3 linked regions of the Tamandua tetradactyla genome follow. The protein of the gene in region 3 interacts with the protein of the main gene of each other region in a pairwise test. Links are inferred from orthologs where the notes say so. Each region holds a gene or a part of one and is shown on either strand. Other genes may lie near its edges. The genes, in order: STX6, STX16 and NAPB.

What was found.
Region 1: the proteins of NAPB (region 3) and STX6 interact in binary tests that used the Homo sapiens proteins (3 or more experiments, as listed by UniProt). The two-hybrid records come from large-scale screens. The link is inferred for Tamandua tetradactyla from reciprocal best matches to the Homo sapiens genes NAPB and STX6.
Region 2: the proteins of NAPB (region 3) and STX16 interact in binary tests that used the Homo sapiens proteins (3 or more experiments, as listed by UniProt). The two-hybrid records come from large-scale screens. The link is inferred for Tamandua tetradactyla from reciprocal best matches to the Homo sapiens genes NAPB and STX16.

The regions. Positions count from the first base shown.
Region 1 is NC_135330.1:35,928,311-35,935,787, forward strand, and holds the start of STX6 (syntaxin-6), read right to left. Parts: upstream 3,019-7,477; 5' UTR 2,757-3,018; coding exon 2,722-2,756; intron 1-2,721. UniProt on the Homo sapiens protein: SNARE promoting movement of transport vesicles to target membranes. Targets endosomes to the trans-Golgi network, and may therefore function in retrograde trafficking.
Region 2 is NC_135327.1:26,691,320-26,699,197, forward strand, and holds the start of STX16 (syntaxin-16), read right to left. Parts: upstream 3,056-7,878; 5' UTR 2,244-3,055; coding exon 2,112-2,243; intron 2,033-2,111; exon of another isoform or gene 1-2,032. UniProt on the Homo sapiens protein: SNARE involved in vesicular transport from the late endosomes to the trans-Golgi network.
Region 3 is NC_135327.1:36,697,878-36,705,691, reverse strand, and holds the start of NAPB (beta-soluble NSF attachment protein), read right to left. Parts: upstream 3,092-7,814; 5' UTR 3,012-3,091; coding exon 2,914-3,011; intron 1-2,913. UniProt on the Homo sapiens protein: Required for vesicular transport between the endoplasmic reticulum and the Golgi apparatus.

The sequences.
Region 1 (7,477 bases), on a different chromosome or scaffold from region 3:
GAGAGGAGGTAGAAAAGGGGTTGGATTCTGCAGGTCATAAAGTATTTGGAATTTATTCTGTAAGCAACAGTTAACATTAAATGATATGAACTAAGATACCCTCCCTGGCCTGAGTTCCGGAAAGGCTATACCTCTGCTCTCTAACACAGGAGCCACATGTAACTACTTAGCTCTTGCAATGTGGCTAGTATGACTAATGAATTGAATTTTAAATTTTAATTAATTTAAATTTTAAAGTTGACATGCAAATAAGTTATTGTAAAACTTTTAAACATGTCATGTAACAATTTGGGTAAGTGAATCTACTTTTTCAACTGCAGAGTTAATGAAACCAAACAACAGATCAAGTTTTTTGATGAAAATTTAGCATCTGCATTAAGATACACTGTATGTGTAAAACACACAAGAGATTTTGAAGACTCAGTATGGAAAAGATGTAAAATATGAGAATCTTTGTTAGTCACATGTAGAAATAATATTTTGAATATATTACGTTAAATAAAACATTACAACTTACTTTTTTACTCTTCATGGGTAGCTACTATAAATGTAAAATGACCTACTGTGGCTCACATTATATTTCTATTGGACAGCTGGTCTGGACCCATTCAAGGGTGGATCATAAGGGTAAGAGAATGGAAGCAGGAAGACCAGTTAAGAGACTCTTTGGTGACAGTTCAAATGAGAGATATGGGCCTACCTAAATTCTACCCACCTTCAAAACCTAGTTTAAGACCTACCACTACTTCCAAAATGCTTTTTCAATTATCAAAAATACTGAGAAGTTACCTTTCTCTGAACTCCTGGGGCACTTATTTTCTGCACTCACTTCAGCACTTAATCATTTACCACCTGTGCCATCTTGGGGTGGATTTTTTCCCTAAATCAGACTAAACTCCTAAGCCAGGGGCCATAAGTCAGGCATCTTTAATTTTTCCACAAGGTATGCTGCATTCTCAGTATTTTTAATAAACAGCATTACCTGGCTCCCTAAATACGCCATCTCACAGTGTGACAAAACCCAGTATATGACTTTACCTCCCTACTGCAAAAGGTATCGAGAATCTTTCTTCTTCAGACACCCTAAGGACATGAAGGTAAAATGAGGTACTAGAAAAGTCAACCAAAACTCCAGCCCAATTTTCCAAAACAGCAATAGTATCTAATTGTTGAGCAAGCACTCAACAACTGTATTGTATAATGTCAGGAAACAAAGGACAAGATGGCAGAGCAATTTAGGGTTTTCGCAAATTCCATTAAAACTCAAATAAACAAACTTAACAATGATCTCTAGCCTCCACTGCCAGAGATAACCTCTGCAACCTACACATTAATAACTTTCATTCAAGGGGAAAATATACGGTTTTAAAATTTAAAAGTTAACCCCTAAATCAATCCTTTCAATAAATTTTCCAGGTAGAGTGCCACATATTACCAGTATATCAGCATTTTCACGTCTAAATTAAAGTAAGATGGAAAAAAAAAACCCTTCTAGGGAAATGTTAACAAGTAGTATAAATATACTTTACTGTATCATGGATAACAAAATATTTCACCTAAAGTACCATTTAAATGTTCCGAGAAGAAAGGATGAGAGAACTCTTAAAAACAACAAATACCCAGCTCTGACCACTAGAGAAATAAAAAGTTAGTAGTAAATGGGTGAAAGCAAAAGGGACATCTTATGGTTATTAGTACTGATCTTCTAGGACCTTTGGAGTTCTCAGATTTTGAAGTCTGACATTTAAAACATGAAACTGACAAGTTACTAGGTATGTCACAACAACAGAATCAGATCCTTCTTGCATCTGTTTAATGGTTATAAAGTTGATATACAGAGTGAGATTCAAGTTTCCCTCTCCAAACAAACCATCGGATAATCAAAGCTGAATTCGAGACAACAGGGAAAAATAAATTCAGGCAGTTCTATTCTGAAAAGAGTAATATGAAGAAATGGGGGAAACCTATGAAACAGCCTGGCTGAAATCAGGGAGTTAAAAGAAACCACTCATTTCCTCTAGCACTGTGGGAAAATCCCGGCTGCTAACAGAAAGCTGAGGAAAGTTTAGCTTGGCTGATTTCATTCTGTTTTCCTTTCAACAACATCACTGAGCACGGACGGCTGTTTTCCTCTCATAACCGTGCTCGGTAAAAACTCCCCCACAGAATTAGGTTGTCTTCCGGTGCAACACGTCCCCGCCTCCCTCTTTCCAAACGTGCTCAGACGCCTCTGGGCATGTTGTGGTCTCCACAGTGTGCGGGCGGGAGCTCCGAGCTCAAAGGACAATGGGAGCTCACCCCCGTCCACGTTAACTACAAAGCCCAGAAGGTCCATTTCCCTTTTCCTGCCCAGATGATGTTTTCCCTTCTTCGAAAAGAGTCGCCTGCTCCAGAACCCTAGTTATGGCTAGGACTCGTGCTCCCTTCCCACTTGCAGAGCTGCTGAACCCCTCGAGCCCTCAAAAAGTTGTGCCGCAGCGCCCAGGCCAGAAGGGGCCCCCCACCAGGGGCGTGGTTGAGGCGCGAGTTCCACAGTCCAGGTGTAACTGGGAGGGGATGCTTCTAGACTCTTGGTCATGGCTCTAAAAGCCAAGCCGTCTCCACAGTCCTCTCCCCAGTCTCAACTTGCCTCCCCTCCCCCCTATAGCGAGAGGAGCGGAGAGGTGCAGGTAGACATTACAGACGCCCCCTCCTCCAGCGCAGCCCTCGGCCGACACTCACCCTTTCACCACAAAGAAGGGGTCCTCCATGGACATGGCGTTTCGGCCCCCAGTCCCCTCCCGCCTGCTCGGCGCACAGGACGCCCGCGCCCTCCTTGGCCTCCCTCCGTCCACCCACTGGCCTAGGGCAGCCTCCGGCGCTGCGGCCTGGGGAATCCAGAGCAGCGGGCGCGCGCGCAAGTCGGGATGCACGGGACAGCCGCTGGACCAGCACTTGGTCGCCGACGCCGGGAGGATTCCCCGACTCTGGCGCCGTCCCCCGCGGCAGCCTCTACCCGGGCTCCTCCAGGCGCGTCCTGCGGCCTAGCCCCGCCCCCAGGACTCTAAGCCCGGGCCAACCAGGAACGCGGCGCGCAACACCACTTCCGCACCCGCGCTCACGTGATCAGGGCCGGCTCCGCCCCTCGCCGACGGAGTCGGGACTCAGCACCACGCAACCCTGGGGGCGGGGTTTCTGGGGACGACGGAGGAGGGGCGGTCAGCCCCCACCTCCCCTCTCAGGCTGGAGGGGGAAGAGCAGCTCGCTCTGAAGTCAGTCCTGTTCTCAGGATAAGCAGTGGTGGTACCTGATGTGCACGATCCTTTTACCTTTTCTCTCCTTTTAATATTTATTTTGATAATATATGATTTGTCAATTCATCTCTTCCTCAGTTTACAATGAGGCATGGTCATATATATTATCTGATTATAATAATGTTATGCAAGATTATGTAGTTCTTACCATATTACGTGCTAAAGGTTGTAGTATGTATTATCTCAATATTCTTGTGGAGAAGCAGTTATTATTCCCATTTTGTAGACAAGAAAAAAATGGAAAGAGTGGTTTCAAAATTTACTGTGGTCACAGCCTGCACAGTGCTGAGCTACAGATTCTGTGCGCTTTCCGCCAGTCTGGGGTGTATTTCCTTTTGCTACACATTTGCAAATGGCTACGTAAGATAATTTTTTCCTAAAGCATATAGTGCTTCCCAGGAGCAAGAAACTTTGGAAGATTAAGAACAGGTGAGATATGCAACTTCCCCTGAAAAGTTTTTGCAGAAAGCATTTGGCCAGGGTGATTAGCCAGCTCATATGCTAGATATGCGATGGGTTTTGTGGATGGGGGTTGTCGACTTTAATTACTAATAATCACTGAGTGACAGGACTGTGCTAAGTGTTACCTCAGTTGCTCTCACAATGTAAAAATTCCTGTTGTTATGCCCATTTCGCAGGTGAGAAGTCTGAAACACAGGTTATGTGACTCACCCGAGGTCACTAGTCTCTTTGCAGATGGCAGAGTCCTCAGAGTCAGACAAACCCCATTTGAACTTGGGTTCTATGATTCAATTCCTCATCTATAAAATGTAAATAATAATACCTAGCTCAAGGCTTGTTATGAGGATTAAATAAGAATGCATAAGAACCATACACTCCAGAAGAGTGAGGGAGTAAAGTCAGGATGCTAATGTGAGTCAGGAAGCTGCTGTGGTCACCAGGTCACAAAGGAATGAGGGCCAGACCAGGATGATAACAAATGCAAATGAAGAGGAAGGAGTAAATTGGATAGGGGTTTCAAAGGAATAAAAAAAACCAAAACATGTAGACATGAGGAAAGATTGAATGAGGGTGGGGAAGGGAGAGACGTGAAAGTCAAAAATGACTCTATGCTTCTCTGAAACCCTGGAGAAGAAGCAAGGGGCAGATGTGGGGAAAGGCAACTATTTGGTGTTGGAAGTATGGTGATGGAAGTGAAAATGAAGCATCATTCATTCATTCATCAAAAATGCTGCATTGAAAGGCAAGTGAGCATAGTGATTAAGAAGCATGTTTTGGAACCAGACCGCCTACGTTCAGATCCCAATTCTGCTACTTCCTGTCATACCTTGGTGTTTCAGTTTCCTGACTGCTAAAACAAATACCATACAATGGGTTGGCTTAAAAACAGGAATTTATTGGCTCGTAGTTTTGAGGCTAGGAGCAGTCCAAAATTGAGGTGTCAGTAAGGAGATGGGTTCTCACCAGCCTCTGGAGTTTTGGAGCTGGCTCTTGGCGATCTTTGGGTCCTTGGTTTACTGCACATGGCAATGCACATGATGGTGTCTTCTCCTTTCTCTTCTGGGTTCAGTTGTCTTCCAGCTTCTTTCCCTGTAGCTTTTTTTTTTCTGTGTCCAATTTTCTTTGCTTATAAGGACTTCAGCCATATTGTATTAAAATCCACACTCATTCAATTTGGGTACACCTCACCTAATAACAAATGGATTCCCAGGACCAGGGGTTGGGACCTGAGCAGGCCTTTTGTGGGGGACATGATTCAATCCACAACACTTGGGCAAGTTGCTTAATCTCTCACCATACTCCATTGTGAAATGTGGACCATAATAACTCCCTCATAGGGTGTCACAAGGATTTAATTAGTTGGTGTGTGAAAGGTGTTTAAACGTGGCCTGGCACATATTGAACTCCTACTATGTGCCAGGCACTGAGGATACAAAGATGAACAAGGAACTCTCAGCCCTGTGGGAGAGGCAGGCAATTAGACACAGAGAGAGAAGGGCACAGGTTGCCATAGAAACACAGAGCCAAGGTACCCGTTTATTTGTGTGTGGGGGGAGGAGGCAGCCAGGAGAACGGGGCTGCCAGGAAGAAGGAATTCTAAACAAAGGCACCACCACATGGAGCAGCCTGATGGCCAGAAAGGGAGCCATGCAGGGGGCATTGCTGGAGTGGAAGGGATGGGGTGATGGCTGCCAGAGCTGCGGCTGGAGGTGGGCAGGGCGGGATGATGGGAGCCCTTGATCCTGTTGTTGAGAACTCTCCTGTAGCTCCCGGGGACGGAGGGAATGGACAGGTTTAGATTCACACTTGACACAGGTGTTGCCAAAATCAGAATGTCAGCTGCGAAGTCATGACCCAGGGGAGGGGGGAGGGGTGCCCTGAGCTTGGCCCACAGCAAGTAGGATGGAAAGGAGGGATACATTTGAGAATTATTTTAGGGTAGTAAGCTTGGTGACTGGTTGGGGGTATGCGGGAGTTAGTGAAAGAGAAGGAAAGAAGGCTTGCAGGATTCTTACGTTGTAAGTGGGTAATTGTTAGCTCCACTCACCCAAGAAAGAGAACACTGGAGTTGGATTAGATTTAGGGTAGATGTAAATTAGCTGTTAGCATATTTGGTCTTTTCTACTAAACTGGAAACTCCTGGAGAGAGGGGATACTATTTTATAATGTTATCACCTCAATGTCTAGAACAGCCTCATATTATCTGTTGCATGAGTTTTATTAATTGGATCACAAACGAGAGGTCCGAGTTTTACAATAAGTGAAATAGAGGATTGAGGACAGAGGCCTACAGAATGTTCATAATTCGGAGTTTGGAAAAAGTGCCAACAATCTAGATTGTGGAGGGTTGAGATATAAAATGTATTATGGGGGTGGTAGGGTGGGGGGTGAGGAACGTGTCTCTTTGTTTAATATGTCACCCTCCCTTACCTTCTTTCAATCTAGACCTTGGCCTCCCTTGCCCAGGGAAAGGGAAGCTATAGCCAAAAAGCGAGGAGAAATAAAGGAAGTCATTTCTTGCCTTTTTAGTTTAACTAGGCCCAGGCATGAACAATAGCTTGGGAAGAATACTCAGCATAAAACCATGGACCTACCCCACCCCCCATCCCCCCAAAATGAATTATACATTTTCAGTGAGCAAGAAATCAAGAAAAGAGTTGCTTGGTGGGGAGAAAGGAGGCTGACTGGAAGGGAAACTTTCTGGGGTGATGGTCTTGATAAAGGTGTATATTATCAAACCGTAGCACTTAAGTTCATTCATTTTGCTGGAGGAGACTGACATGCCAACTTGACTTTTCTCTAGAGGCCTGACAGGGGCATCCAGAAGAACCTCTGGGCCCTGAGTGAATCTCTAAAATTAGGAGAGTGAGCAATGGAGGGAGTTTCCTGGGGTCCTGCAAGGCATCTTGTGCTGCAATAAGGGGATGCCAATGCAGAAAATAGGGCACAGGTGGCCGGGCCACGGAGCCAGTGAGGACAAGGATCAGAAAGGATCAAATCACATCTTATTGCAAAGTATGCTAGGATGGACCTGAGGGAGATGGGGGCAGGTAGCCACCCTCGCCCCCACGAGTGTGGGATTTCCATAAGACCCCTACAAGGGGCCCTCCGTTCTCTAAAATGGGAGCAATAATACCCAACTTGTTCCTTAGTTAGGTTGTCATAAGGATCAGCTGGGAGGATATATGTGAAAGCATTTTGCAAAACACCGTAATTCCTTTCTAAAACAAGGCAGAGCAAGGAAGGAAAAGTATTACATAGATAATAAGGAATTATACTCTTCATCATTATCCCAACCTTTGAAAAACTGTGATGTGCATGTATGTAGGTATTTGTTCTGGGACAGTCCAGGAAACATTTGGTCCTGTTGGCTTCTAGTGATCCTGCTAAGTCTGTCCACACTTCCCACCCCCCACTGCAGGAACTGTCCCCTCACATAGCCACATGCTGGGTATGTTTTCTTTCCTCCCCTTGGTTGCTGCCAATACCCCCATCCTCACACTCTACACACTGACATAAAATAAACAAGGAGAAATTCTAGTCAACTTATATATCCAACATTAGGACATGATGGAAAATTTATGGTGTATCTATTTGATGGTCACTGTAAACGTTGTTTACAGGTATATAATGACGTGCAGAGCGCTTTACTCTATCGTTGCAGGGGCACCTTTGCTTTGACTGACAACTGCGGCTCTTTGTTGGACAGCAGAAGTGGCAGG
Region 2 (7,878 bases), about 10 Mb from region 3:
GCAAATTACTTTTGTTTGAGAGCAAAATCTGTTTTTTAGATAGTCTGAACTGACTACCAGAGTATTATAAATGACCTGGCTGCTTTTAATGAATTGAGATTTTAAATGGTGAGACTAATATAAGTATGCAATATTTTAAAACGTATGTCTTATACAGAAAATTTTTTTTGATGTTCTGACTTAAGCATATCTATTTTAAAATGGTTTGATTTAGAAATCTGTTCTCAAGAAACTGTCTGTTAGCTGAATGTATTTGTGCATTTTTTGACATATCAATTTTTTCAAACTGAATAATTCAGCTATCCGTTTTTAATTATTTGATTAGCTCACGTATTTTAAATTGTCTGACAGAAAATCACTGTTAAAAGCGATCTGACTTAAAGATGCACTTTCAAAGAGCCGCCTGGCTCAGACACCAGGTCTTTAAACCATCTTGACTTGATTTAAAGAAAAAAAAAGAATTTGAATCTTATGTAATTAAAATTTTAAAAGCAAACAGTATCTTTTCAATCAATTGAACCAGATAGCCCTTAGAAGCATTAACCCGAGTTTTTCTTCCTCCATGAGGTGCCAAAAACCTCAAGCCAATTAAGGAACATATAATTCTTCTTATTTAACAAAACTAAAGTTCCACTGAGGAATTTTATTCTTTTCATTTCTACCCTTTATTTCTTGGCTTATTTCAGGGTATTCTCAAAATTGGCAGTGGAACCAGCCCATTTCCAAGCTAACAGACATCTTTACACTTTTCTCAGTATAATACAAAATTTCTTTCAGTCTATAAATACATAAAACCTGCAAATTCTTAACTAAATAAAAACTCAAACACACTGTTCCTGTTTTTTGACCTGAGTTTACTTAATTTTATTCCTGAAACTGCTGACAAAGGCTTAAAATAGCCTTTTCTCCATGAGTAATATGGTCAAAGACATTTTCCACATGTGGCTTAGTGAAAGGAAAGACTGTCTTTGTAGAGACCCTCTCTGTCAATAATCAAGACACATGGCACAATTTTTTCTGCAGCACTTAGATAAAATCATAAAGAAAAATAAATTAAGGCACTACAGTCCCTGAAAGGTGAAATAACTGTAAGATTCCCAAAGCTGTATATATCAAGTATCCTCTCCAAGGATCTGGTCTTGGGATGACTCCTTCATTCCGCATTACTGCTTCTATTCGAACCTCGCCTGTCTTCCCCCTACTGTGACTAGTTTCACAACTTCATTCTTCCATTTCGGATATCAGAGAGCTAAGAATTGTTATCATGTATACATCACTCAAACCCACCCCTCATTTAACAGAGCAGGAAACTGACACTCAGAAGAGGAAAACAGCCCCCCTCAAAACACAAAGTCATTACTATTCTGTCTCCTACCTCCCTACAAAAGACTACTTGCTGGGCTGATGTTTCAGGTTAATTAAAAAAAAAAAGTGCTATTTTGGAGGTTAATTTTCACATACACACCATGCTTTGAAAAAAAAAAAAAGTTCGAATCGAAGGGAAAGCTGAATTTCCTGTCTAGGAAATGGAAAACTGAAGGGCCTAGCACCTTACTGTTTCACAAGCACGAGCCCCCAGGAAAAACAGTGAAGCAATTATTCATAGGGAACACGACCACACAGAGGGCTGCGAGGCCATTAAAAGACCACGGTCGGAAAAACCTCTTTCCTCCTTTCAGGGAGGGAGGAGCTCACTTGCAAGGATTTGGGACGGTTGGTCCTGTAATCCAGCTCTTAGGACCAATATGGGGGTGGGAAGAGGATGCAAAACAAATCAAACAAAAAGCCTTCCGAAAGACTCCACACTTCCAAATCTTACTGTTACAACATATGCAAATTGGAGGCAGCCGGTCGTGCTGTGACGATGGGGAGGCGGGAGGGGGGACTGGGAGGGCTGCGGAAGTGAGGAGAGAGGGCAAGGCAGAGGTGGAGCAAGGGCCTAATGCTGGTTTTCCCCCATCCAGGGACCCTAGCCAAGAGGCCTTGCATATCCATATTATTCTTAGTCTTATCTTCTTTTTTTAAAAACAGAGAGACAGACAGAGACAGACAGACAGACACAGCCGCAGTGCACACGGTGCGTGTGTAGGAGACGCCGCCGGGAGACTCACCGCAGCAATGCTACGTGAATGCAGAGGGCTGGAGGTGGTGTGACTACTCACTTGCTCGGCTAACAGCTGCCGGTTTTGGATGGAATTATTCCGCAACAACAAGAAAGCGTCGGTTAAACGCCTGGTGGCCATGTCTCACCCTTTGTGACCCCCCTCTCAGGGGCCCCCCGCCCACTTAGAATCCTGATTTATTCACTTTCTTTCTCTTGGACTGGCCTAACCCGGCCCACCCAGCACAGAAGCCTCTCTTGACAAGGCCTCTCAGGCCTGGAGCCAAAGAGGAGCAGCTTTGCGCTTCGTCCTGGCGCAAAGACCCCTCCCCAAATAACCACCTAGGCTTTCCAATTGTCTGACTCCCCCTACCCAAGACCTAACTTCGATCTCCAAGCACTTAAATCCCCCCAATCCTTGCGTTGCGAGCCAACGTCCCAGAACCCCCACCCCAATCCAACCTTGGATCTACAAGCGTCTAACTCGCCAATCCGGCTCTGGACTGGGAGGCCCTGAAGCCCCCTACCCCCCTTAGTCCCTGAGACCCTCAAGGATCTCTGCCCTTTACCCCTAACGTGGCTCTTGAGCGTCTAGGCCGTGCCCTAAGACCTGGCCTTGACTCAGTTTCCCCACCAGGGGCCTGGCCTAGGCCTCCTAAGGCAATCAGAGCCAGGCCTAGGCTATGAACTCCAGGGCGCCTGGCGCCCCCTTCTTGAGCTGTGTCTGGGCCTGCTACGGCCCGGGCCCGAACTCCTGACCCCTCCCCCCGTCTTGGGCGGCCTGCTTCTCCACTGCTAGCCGGCTGCCGGCCTCCGGGAAGGCAGCAGGGCCTGCCTCCCGGCCTCCTCACTCCTCTTCTCCGTCTCCCTCCATCCCGGGATCTGACTGCAGTTCTGCCCCGGGCCGTTTCCGTGCTGTGGTCCCGGGTTCTGGAGTTCCCCCTGGCCCTCTTCCTGTCCGTCTCTCGCGAGTGCCCCCCTGCGACACTCATAAGCCCTGCTCGCAACGTTCCGGGCGCGGGAGCTCCCAGTCCCTCAGCCCCGGGCGCGGGAGCGCTCCGCCTTCTCTCCCGGGGTACTCCCGGGGCGCCCCGTTTTCCCTTCCCCGAGCGGGCCCGGGGACCAGGAGCGGGCGAACATGGAGGCCCGAGCCTCGAAAGTGTGGGCCCCAGGCGGCAAACTCGTGCCAGGGGCCTTGGCGCCTACAGTTAAGAGTGGAAGTTGCGCGGCAGGCAAATCTGGGCGCCCGCAGAGCCTAAGTTCGCTGAGCACGCGGCGTGCGGGCGAGTGAGGAGGAGAAAAGTTGGAGACGACTGCCTCTGGAGGCCGAGCACGCTCCACTGCAGGCGGCGGCGCGGCTCGCTCGGGTTTTTTTCTGTTCTGAAAAAAGATTTATCCGTAAAACAACAAGGGGGGAAAAAAAAGGAAGGGCGAGCTGCAGGTCCGCTTGGGCCGCGGCCTCCAGCGACGCGGCAGCCAGTCGGGGGTCAGGGGCCCCCGCCCGCCCCAGCTGCCACTTTCTGTAGGGGGCACTGCAGGGTTGTGGAATCTGAAGTGGAAAAGTTCCCCCGAAAACTTTGACACCTTCCTCCCCCCTCCCACCCAAAAGAAAAACCTACGACTTTTCTCTCCCGGGTGGGCCCGCACGTGCCGGTTGCAGGGCCGGGCCCGGGGCCCGCGCTCCCCTTAGCTCTGGCCAGGCGGGGACCTCTGCGCCCGCCTTTTCCTCCCCTTAGGCTGAGACCCCCGGCGCTGGTTTCCTGCAAACCCGGTCGGGGGCAGCTGCTGCGCCCCGAGATGCCGCCTGCCTTGTGGGGCGAGCGGAATCGGGCTGCGCGGAGCAGCCCGAGCCCGAGTATGGCGAGCAGGGGCGAGGAGGAGACCTGTGGCGGTTCCCAGCGCCTGGCTTCCAGCGACCCGCCGGGCGCCGCGGGGCCGCAGCCGAGAGCGGCGGGTCGGGGTCGGGGAGCGGGGCCGGGGACACGGGCAGGGACGGTTTTCTCTTCCCGGCGGAGCCGGGACCACGACGGTGCTGCGAGGCAGGGCTCGGAAGGGAGGTTTTTGTTTTTGTTTTTTAAAAAAACAGGCCCTGGAGAATCTGGATGCAGGCCCTCATTCATACACTTGCTTCTGAATTCAACTTTACACACACGTGTATTTGTTCCAAGCTTTTGCCGTGTGCTAAGGTCTGGGCTTGCAAAGAGGAGCGAAGCAAAACGAAGCACAAAGCCTGCATCCGCGGCTCGCGAACAGCTCCCAGCCTGGCGAGGGGCGAGCCGCTGATGCTCAGTGAGCCGCTAGAGTCTTTGCGATGGAAAGTACCGGAAGACCCGGGTGCAGCGCCGGGGTCCCCGGAGGGGCTTCAGCGAAATTGCTGGTGACAGAATACGTTCTTTTTTTAAAGGAGAATGCTTCTGTCCATTGGTTGTGTAACTAAAAATTAATTTTTAAAAATATTGGGGGAAAATATCAAAAATGCATTACCAAAAAAAGAAAGAAAGAAAGAAAAGAAAACGAAACGAGAAAGCCAGAGAGCTGGGCCGAGCGAATTAATTTCCAGGAAGGGGCAATGTCTCCCAGAGCTGGGGGAGAGGGGAGACACGCGCGCAAAAAGGGGCGCTTGTTGGGAAAATCATCCTGAGCGGTGGAAGATGCTCCAAAACCCCGCAGCCACTGGCAGCCGCTGCGTGTAACTGCAGGGGGCCTGCAGGGGAGATGGAGAGGCCGGTATCAAGGCAGAGACCCCGACTTAATGTGTCTTAGAGGGAAATTCGGGGAGCCTGTGCATGGACTTCTGGGCTTAGCCCAGCACCCCAGGAAATGTATGCCGAATGAAGGAGACTTCTGTTCCCACAGGCACAGGATCCCCCATAGTGAGATCTGATTTGAGTCAAACTGCAAGCCCCCCTGTTTCCTGCTTCAGAGAACAAGTATTTGTAAATAAGAACATGAGATTAGAAATGCTCTCCACACTTTGTTCCTTTCTCTTGAGCACTCATCACCTCAAGCAAAGCAGTGACTTGTTTACTTCTGGTTCTTTTCCCCAGGCTAGAACCCCATCTTCCTCCAACGCGGGGACTGTGTTTTATTCATCTTTGTACCCACCGCTAGATCATCAGGCTTGGAACAGGCAGCTCATCAACGTTAAAAATGTGCATGAATGAATGAGACACCCGAGATTTAGTCCCCAAACTATATGACTTTCCTCAAGTGACTTTGAGCCTGTGGAGCCCTTATCTGTTAAGAAAGAGAAAAAATGTGGGGTTTAATAATCCTTGTAATCCGTCCCCTGCCTACCTCTCTGGGGCTATTGTGAAGATCAAAGGAGATAAGTGAAAATGCTTTGTAAACTATCAGGTGCTGAGCAAATATTGTAGAGGGTGGTTATTCATTCATTCCCTCTGCTTGGAAAGCTTAACAGAGTAATTCCTGGGCTTGTGTTTCAGCAGATGGTGGTGGCCCTTCCTGGTCAGCCTTAAATATTTATTGTGGGACAATCTCATTCTTATGAGAAATCAATCAAGCTTCCATTTCTTGGAGAGAAATGAACAGTGCTTGCACGCATAAATAACGGAAGAAAAAAAATCCTCATATTCCCAAAACAGCCACCCTCAAACAACCCAAGAGCCCAACAGCAGAGAAATCATGGAGAATCCATGAGATTGGCATAGCAACCCAAGGGTCTCACTGTGCAGTTATAACCCAGTCCAGGCCCGGGGTTGTGTGCGTGAAATAGTGTTAAGTGAAAAGAAGGGTGGCTCAGCCAGTGTGCATACTGGCTTCAAGTGTGTCGATGGGCGCCTGGACTCACATTGGAGGGGAGGTGGGGAAGGGTGTAAATCATTTTATTTGAATGTTCCTTGGCTGTTTTATTTTCCTGTGGAGTGGCTTAAGACTGATTTCTTTTTTTTTAAGCGTTCCCTCATGGCCAAGTATGTGTTTCTTTGGAATTGAAATCTAGGTTGATGGTTTTATATTTTAAAAGCTTTCATTGTGACTCATTTTTGGCCTGGGATAAGATTCTGTGATACTCCCTGAGCTTAAAGAGCCTCGGTGTCCTGTTTCTTGGGCTTTGTACCCACTTTCTAACATTTTGCTGATGATCCAAGAAGTCACTTTTGGGGACAAGTGTTGTATTGTCTTTTTGCCATCTTAATCAGTGCTGAAGGGAACCATAAACATGGGCTTTCCCTGCTGAAGACAGACAATGGCAGGAGAAGGCTTTCAAGTCCTGACAGGTTAGTGATTAGACAAAATGCAAGATTCACACCCTTTGGTGAAGATGTTTTCCTAAGACAGGGCTCCTGAAGCCCCTCCACAGGCCAGCGTATAACAAGGACTCCATAAGTGGGTCGTGTGCTTCATTTGAGGAGTGGTCTTGCCAATAGAAAGCACACATGCATTCTGCCTCCTCTGGAAGATACCACATCAAACTCCAAAGTGGAGGGCATGGTGGTGGGAACTGGATGCCATCCAAGGACACTTTCAAGATTCTTGTTCTGTTGATTGGAAATCCAGATGGGTCTATGATGTACCCTCGGGTGGAAGCTGGGACATCATGGTCTCAAATGGATGTATTTTAACTTTGTACTTTCCAGATCCTAAAGGAGGGCCAATGGTCATTTTTTATCAAGATAAGCAGAAAAAGTTCCCAAGGCTAAAAAATGTCTCATCTCCACAGATCTGACATACCAGCAGAGTTCTGGCCAGATTCAGGAAATAGCAGCTTTGCATTCTGTCTCTCCAAATAGCTCTCAAAATCTTGAGTATTTTCAAGCTTAGGAGATTTCCCAGCTCTGCCCATCTTCTGCCACAATGCCTTTCCCAAGCAGAGGCCCTAGAGTAAGGCAGTATTTCAGTTTTTTTCCCAGACTCCATTACCTTTCTATATCCAAACAATGCCATTTGGTAGGCATTCTAAAAGTCTAGCAGCAGCTGTGTCCCGTTGTGGCCAGGCGCTGGTAAAAGCAAGGAGACAGAGCAAAATCTTCACCTTCAAGGAATTCACAGTGTTTGCTACCTCTGTTCAAGTCCTGGTTCGCATCAAATGGGTTTCAGCAACAGTCTCCTGACATCCACTGTCTCTTTCCCTCCATCCATCCTCTACCCTGGAGCTGCAGTGACCTTTCCAAAGCACAAATCTGATCATGTCACTGCCTGATTGAGGCCCTGAAACAGCTCCCTCTGGCTCACACCAGCAGGTCTCAGACCACGCTTGGCAGAAAACAGGTGCTCCTGCTGAACCAAGCCAGGCCATCACCACCATTAACCAACGACGGTCTTTTCTTGGTTGGCAGAAAAAAATTAAACTAACTGATAGAAGAGCCTCCATTTTAAGTGTTTCTTCCATCACTTTCTCTTAATTCTTTGGTCCCTGCTACCAGTTGGCTGTTTGAGAATATAGTATAAGATGTCTCTGATTTCTCACAGACTCATGAATTCATTAAAAAAAAAATTTTTTTCCCCCCATTTTCTCATATGGGCGTTCTGCTCTTTCAGCTTGGTGGAGAGCCCTTTGGGATGAAGGCCTGGCAGTCAAGGACCTTCCCAACAACCCCACCCAAATGGACAGCCTCTCAGTCTAGACCTGGGCACATGTGGTCTCCTCTGCCTAGAGGATCCCCCAGTCTCCCTACTTCTGCCCAGTGAACTCTTTCTTCCAGGCTTAGTGCCACCTAGTGTCTAGTGTAAAAAGCATTTATAGAATGGATGAATGGAAAGAGAAAATTAAATCTATGCTGCAGGAGAGGATACTGGATAATTAAGACACTAGCCTT
Region 3 (7,814 bases):
TCCAGATTGTCACAGACAGCTAATATATTACAAATTCAGGATGATTTCAAGATAGCCCAATGGGGAATTTTATTAAATTTACACCAAGACTGATGGATTTATGGCTTTTTTATGAACTTTTGAAAATGGAGGACACTCAAAAGCAAAGGAAAATAGGATTGACCATCAAGATTCCATCATTCTCAAGCAACTATTTTCTTAGATCATCCTGTGGGTGATCTACAACCTGTGTTTTCTTAGGAACAAAATGGAGAGACTACTCAGGGAGCCCTTAGCAATCCAAAACTACCCACCACGCTAGTTTAAAGTCCCACACTAGTTTAAAATCCTACTAGCAGCTTCTAAATGAAAATTTAGCAGATTCTAATGAAAATCTGCAATTAACTACAGAATTCTTTAGTTTTTGTCTATGGCCACAAAGTACATGACAACACTAATATTTTTACTATGCTTCAGAAAGTATATCCTTCAGAAAGTAAGTTTTCATTTAATTCCACAAATACAAAGACCTATCACTGTTTAACCAACCAGTAGTTAACTGGAAAAACAGACCCTGTTCACAGTGGCTCCTGGCTGGCTTCCGTCTACTTTGGTTCTTTTTCAGCAGGTGGCAATGCGGGAAGAACCCTGGCATCTCACAGAACAGGCAGGCAAGTCGGGACTTCAGCCTCACACACCAAAGACATAGGTGACTAGTCCCTTCTCATGAATAAGCAGCTCTAAGTACTTTTCCTCCCCCTTGGCTTTCCTGGAGCCAAGTGTCAATGGAAACATACAGTCTTTATAGTACAAATAATACCTATATGGTATGTTACCTGATTGCAAAACTCTTTTACTCCTTTTATTTCATTTAAAAGACCAATGATCTGGTCCTAAGAGTCTCTCGCTCTGGAATCCTAGAAACCCCCCTTAATCCATTTGGCCCTCAGTTGCTTCCTTAATAAAAAGTGGGACTGGCAATTTTGATGAATATTATAACTAATATTTTCACAATCATCCTCAAAAGGCACAGTTCTAAACATTTTACACACATAGACTCCTGAACTCTGACAACTGTGAGATGTTCTATTATTACTATTATTCCCATTTCAAAAGAGGAAACTGAGACACACAGGGTAAGTCACATGCCCCAAGTCAAAGCTTGGATAACATCCCTGACCTATTGTCTAGGTAAGCTGGGACGCCATTAGTTCAAATTTTGTGTAAACGGTGAAGATGAAAGTCTTCCTGGACAGCCTGTCTATGAAATAGGTGATCAAAAGTCTACGGAGAAAAAGAGATGTTTCTCTAAAACAACCAAAAAAAGGCTTTTCAAAAAATCTTTTAGGATTACTGGCTCAAGATTTGACTTAGTTTCACAAAAACAACAAAATACCTCTTCATAAAAAGGAGTGGAAGCCTGAGAGAAGCATCAAGTGATGTTATGCTGAGCTTTTCTCTTTTACCAACTGCAGATTCCCTCCTAGGAAAGCACATTCTGACCTGAAATATGGTGTGACATTAAGATAACCTCCGAGGATGAGGTGTATGACATTCAATTTTATTTCAATACATTGTAAATGTTTTGTGACGCAGAGAAAGGAGTTATGTTTGGTGTTGACTTCAAGTATTTAGGCTGTGTTCTATATACATTTAAAAAGTAAACAAAATTTATAATTCACTGTCATAATTTAAAGTACCTGCAGTCATGAAAAAGTTAAAACAGTTGGGATAAGTGCCCTCCAACTGAGGGGCTCTTGAGGACAGAAACATTATCTTTACCTCTCTTTGCATCCCACACTACTCCACACTATATAAAATCTGCACTTAAGCATTTTGTGAAGAAGTAGCCACAAAGGTGGTACAAAAAGTGAGGAGTCCCTTACCTGTGCTTTTGGAACTAAGATTCCAAACTGGATTTGTACAGAAATAAAACTGTGTCTAATAATTCAACGGGTAAGCATGTACAACACTGGTCCTTCTCAGGAATAAATAATAATCTGCTTTCGGTGTCAGCAGAGGCTCTTTCAAAAAGAAGGGGGAAAAAAACAAGAAATTTCAGCCTCTCACATCCTAAATAGCTGAATCACTCAACGTTCAACAGCCCAGAATTCTCCCCAGGGCTGTCAGTGCAGGCGCTGCTGCATCTGAGAGGTCCCGAATTTAAACCTCCTCTTGGAGAGGAGAGAATTACAGCAAATTAACGGGCTTCCCGAAAGAAACTGACTTAAACCTGAGCTGCGTGATCCTTAGCCGAGCAGGAGGCCCATCTGTTAAATCAGTCTCTAATAAAGTAAAAAAAAAAAAAATACTATGCTGGGAAAACGCATTCGCCTACTCAGCCAGTGTTCATTAAGTGACCACTCGGTGCAAGGTCCCCTGCGCTAGGGAAACCGGCACCTGATCCCCAAATGCGGAACCCCTCGACGGGGACCGGACGTACCCACCTGTGCTCTCGCCCCGCACTGCTCTCCTGAGGCCCCGGGGCCCGGGTCGAGCACCGGTCTTCCAAATGACCGCCGGAGCCCCGCAGCCAAGAGTACAGCGGGTTCGACCAGGCGGCGGGGGCGCCCGGGCGCCGCGGACACCCCCCGCCAGAGAATCCCATCCCAACGCACGGCCCGCACAGGCCGGAGGACGCACCGGGGGTTGGAGGTCCGGGGACACGAGGGGGTTTAGAAGGGCCCCGGGACGTCTCGGGAGGGGTGAGGGCGTGGGGGCCGGAAGCTCCGAAGGAGCCCTGGGGGGTTCGTAGGGGTCTGGAGGTCTTGGGGGACTTGAGTTCTCCATGGGGATTTCTGGGGGCGCATGGGGCTGAGGACCTTGGAGGGATCTGGAGGGTTGCTAGTGGGTCCTGGAGTGAACGTGGGGGCAATCTGCGGGGAAGCGGTCCCGGGACCGAGGCCCCTCCGGCGCGCGCGGACTGGCACTTACCCAAACAGCCCTCGGAGGAAGGAGTGGGAGGCCTTAACTCGTTTCTCGGCGTCCGCCATCAGCTGCACCGCCTCACGCTCTTTCCCCGCGTTGTCCATGTCGCCGCCGCCGCAGCTGCCACAAGCTCCTCAGCCGGCTCGCGACGAGCCTCCGCGATACCGCTTCCCTCCTCGCAACCCGAGTGCGCAGGCGTCGCTCGCATGGCCTGCCGGGAAGTGTAATCCATAGCACTGCCGCGATGGCCGCGAGACGCGAGGGGGCAACTACATTTCCCAGAAGGCCACGGAGCGGACGGGTTATCTTAGCTCACAGACCCCAGGTTCTCTGGGTTCGGAAAGCGGGGCGTGACCTGCTGCAGGACCCAGAGGCCTAGGTGGACTTCAGTATTTGCAGTGTGCGGGGACTAGTTCCTTCTAGCGGCTCCACCACTGTTCTCCCTGGGAATTGACCGGTAGCTTCCAGTAAGGACCACCTAAAACACACAGCATCCTGTTGGCTCAGGACCACTGACAATGGAATAGTGAAGGATCAGGGGATACATACAGGTCGAAACTCTCAATATAGATGCAAAGTCCGCAAAATGGAATCCAAAATTTTAATGCAGCTACCGAAAGTTATTCCATCAGCCAATGTGATGCCCACATCCACCCACCCAAAAGGCAACAGCTGGCAGAGCCAGTTTTATCTCTCAAGAGCAAGATGGTTAAGAATGTATCATTTTCCCCCAATAGAAATTCAGTTATTTTTAAGTCTCCCCAAAGCGGCTTTCTGTCTGTCCTCTCTTCCTTGGTTATAAATACTTTGGCATTTAATATGCATAATCCACTCTTTATATTGATTTGAATTGTGTTCACCATCTAGTTCCTGTATCCTTTACATAACGCTGCCCATAGGCAGTGGGTCTTTTGGGACAAAATTTCTGCCTGCCAGAAAGACTTCTAACCTCCTAGAAGTCTCTATAGATATAGCGGCTCTCCTGTGCCAGAGATTTCCAGACCTGACCCACAGAGAGTTATTTTTTAATGCAATGTCTAGACTGTTTACACTTGGCAATGCTAAAGCAGAGATGGTGAAACAAATATGAAAATCACTGCCAAATGAGACTTTGTGACAATTTCAAACCATTAATAAATACACTGTGGGGACTGGCACACAAGCTTTATCTAAGAAAATGAAGCCTGTCTTTAGAGAGCAAAGCAAGAAAAGATGAAACTCCTAGAAAGAAAAATAAAACCTGTGTCACAGGATTCATATTGTTAAAAAAATTAGACAAGCTATTAATTATGGAAGTTTATTTGATTTGTTTATGATTCATGAGTCAGGAAGCATCCAAACTGCAGGTGGAAAGGAGGTCCACCTAGAAGGTGGAAAGAGGTTGCTTATATAGGGCAAATGGGGAATCAAGTGGAGAAATGTTCTGATTGACTGATATTAAATTTCCATTTTACATGGGGGATGAAAGCAGATATGCATTGATTAATATGGTTTATCAGAAAGTCCATTCTGATAAACGAACTTTATTGGACAGAAACTGGTTTATCACCAGGTGTTGTTTATTTGCAGTTCTGTAGGGTGTGCTTCATTGTTCCATTTTCTGGAAAAGCCCCTGAAGGTCAATCATTTTATGTCTTCTGAAAAATCCTTTCTTAGAGAGGGGTCCCTCCTGGCAATGCCCAATGCAGGCAGTTGCTTTATTTTACTTAACATTACATTGCAAGACACGGCAGACAGGAGGAAATCTCAGATGTTCAAGCAGAGCTTATTTGCTTACACTATATGCATTATGCTAACTTCAAAAACCTGCATTTGGAGCAGTATGAGGGAACAAGGCAGAATTAAATGCAGAAGTAAAGACAGAAAATGGTAAAAGAAGGACATAGGCATTTGAAAAGCAGAGCAGCCGGTGGGTACTGAATGGAAGGGCCAACTCAAAAACTCCTGAGGGTCTCAGTGTGGGGATTAGCGCAGTTTCCAAACCTGGCTCAACACAGAAACTCCTTTAGAGCTTCAAGAAACACTGACCCCTGGGCTGTTAGCTTTGTACCAGAATCTCCTCTCCCTGAGTCTAGGAAATGTACATTCTAAAAAGAATTCTCCACCACTATTCTAAAGCACACAATTCTAGATCTTCAAATCTGTTGTCAGCTTAAAATGATCTAGAATGGACTGCCTCCTCTGAACTAGAATTTGCCATTTTGGTTGGCAGGGGTGGCTCAAAAATTTCGGTTATTTCTGGGCATTTTCCTCACTCTGTTCTTTCTCACAGGAAACCAGAGGGAACCCCCACCTTTACCCCTACCCCCAGTACACACCAAAGTGGGAGAAAACTTCAAAGATTTAATTGCTCTGTGGATGCTGTGCTTTCTCCGCCCAGAGGCTAAGTAAGTGGAGAGGCAGGACAGACAAACAGAATAAGGACTGGCTAGAGAGACAGAAGAAGAATCCTGCAAGCAGGAGGGAAAAGGAGAAGCCCCATTCACGGGAGGAAGGGAGTGAAAATGCCTTGGAGTGGTAGTTGTCTTGGAGTAGAGCCAAAGGACCTGTCATTCAGTCTCGTGGGGCAGCCACTTACCACCTGTGACCATTTAGGTTTACGCTTAAATTAATTAACGTTAAAAATGTAAATCCCACTTCTATCAGCCACATTTCCATCGCTCAATAGTCAGACCTGGCTTGTGGCTCCCACTTTGGATTGCACAAATATAGGTAATTTCTATCATTACATTAAGTCCAGTAGTCTGTGCTGGCCTTCCAGCATCCCTGGACACTTGCCAGAAAAGAGGAGACTCTTTAGACACTGACTGAAGGACTGCTGTAACAAAATACCATGAACCGGGAGGTTTAGAATAACAGAAATGCATTGTTTCAGTTCTGGAGGCTGCAAGTCAGAAATCCAGGTGCTGGCACGGCCACGCTCCCTCTGAAACCCATTGGGGAGAATCCTCCCTGGCTTATTCTAGCTTCTGGTGCTGGCTGGCCATCCTCGGCAATCCTTGATTTGCAGCTAGCTGTTGCATGGAATCTCTGCCTTGGCCTTCACATGGCTTTCTCCCCAATGCCTGGGTCCAAATTTTCTTCTTCTTATAAGGACATGCGTGTCCTTGAGCACACCTGGCGCCAAGAGAGGTAGGGTCAGAAGATGTGTGGAAGCAGGTGTGATTCTCTGCCTGCATCCGTGCATAGGAGGGTGCAGCATGGGGAGGGGCCTAAGGGAAGTCTAACAAGGAGGGAGAGGGCAAAGGGTATGAATGTAGGGTGCCTCTGGAACTGCTGGAGGCTGGTATCCTGACAATCCAGAGCAGGTACAAATTATTTCCTCAGAACTGAGTGTGGGACGCTCCCATTTCTCAGTGATCCAGCAGCAGCTACTAACTGAGCTCATTTCATGCAGGAATCTATCCCCCTGGCCAGCTTTTGGTTCCATAGTCAGGAAGAAACTTCTGCCCCTAATTAACACGTAGTAGCTCCATGCCTGTTCGTCCCAGCTACCAGCACCTGCCGTTTGCCCTGGGGGTCTGCTTTGGCCTCTGCTTGAATGCTGCAGGTGTGGGGGTTTCATTAACTTCATTCAACAGGAAATTCATGCCTCTTCACCTTTGAGAAGTCATAAGCTAAGGTAGGGGGAGTGAGCGCTAAAGACCCATAGGCATATTCCAGTTGCCTGTCCAGTCATTCCTTGTAAATTCATAAATCGGCATTCTCATCTATGGCCAACTCGCCATCAAACCATCAAACTTGGTAGTGTAAAACAGAAATAATCATATTTTAATGTTATCGCTTATGGTTCAAGGGATTGGCTGGGCTAGCAGAGTGGTTCTCCCATAGAACGGTGGCTGGAGCTAGAGTAAATTCAAAGGCATCTTCATGCCCATGCCTGACATTTGAGAAGACACAGTCTCCTGGAACAATCCCTCAGCTTCCTTCTCTCTGTGGGATCTTGTACATCTGGCTGGACAGGGGGTAGGAGGAGAGTGAGCCAGACAGAAGCTGCGCCACCCGCTAAGACCTGGCCTTGAAATTTTGAGGCCTCTTTCTACTTCACTGAAGGAAGGAATCACTGAGACCCATGCAAGGGGAGGGAACTTAGACTTCATCTCTTAGTGGGAGAGTGCCAAAGGATTTGTGGATATTGTAAGCCAACCCAGTTAGGTGAGAGCTAGCTAGGCCTCCATCCCCATCCATTGGAGCTGGACCACCAGGCTGAGGACCAGTCTTTCTTCTTGCCACGGTCCTGCAGCCCTAGGGTCATCCCCACCTTGGTTCTCTGTCTGTAGCCTGGGGAATGGCTCAGAAGCTTCAGTACAGGCCAAATCAGGCTGTGTTCTGTTTTAGCAAACAGGGAAGATAGTCATGTGTTCTGGAGGAGCTTCATCCAAAAATCCTTAAAGTGATCAAATGAATGAAAATAAATGTTCTCCACTGTTGTGGATGAGGCTGGGCTCCTGCCCTTTCCACAGCTTTGAGGATAGAATTTTATTCTATTCATAGTGATTCTTTACCTTTTCCACATGGACTTGCAAAACCAGCAGCATTTGAATAGGGAAGTCGAGAAGAATATGTGTTTTATTAAGAATTTTTTTAAAAACTCAGAGCACTAGTGGCTTGTGTGGTGGTGGTGACGGGTGGGGGGGTCATTTTAGACCATATCAAATTTGTTACAAATACTTCTAAATGTAGTTTTGTTAGCAAGTAATATTTCCTTAGGAAATGATTCTCTAGAATTTAGATGAAAATTTAGGAAAGGTAAAATTAATATACACAAATCTGTCAGAGGAAACAGAAAATGATAAACTAAGTTAAAATAAGAATTTATGAGAAAATATTTATTGATGCCATTAGTTGATGTTATTCTTTTTATTAGTTGATGTTCACTTCTACAAGAAAGGTTTGAGGTTAACTTG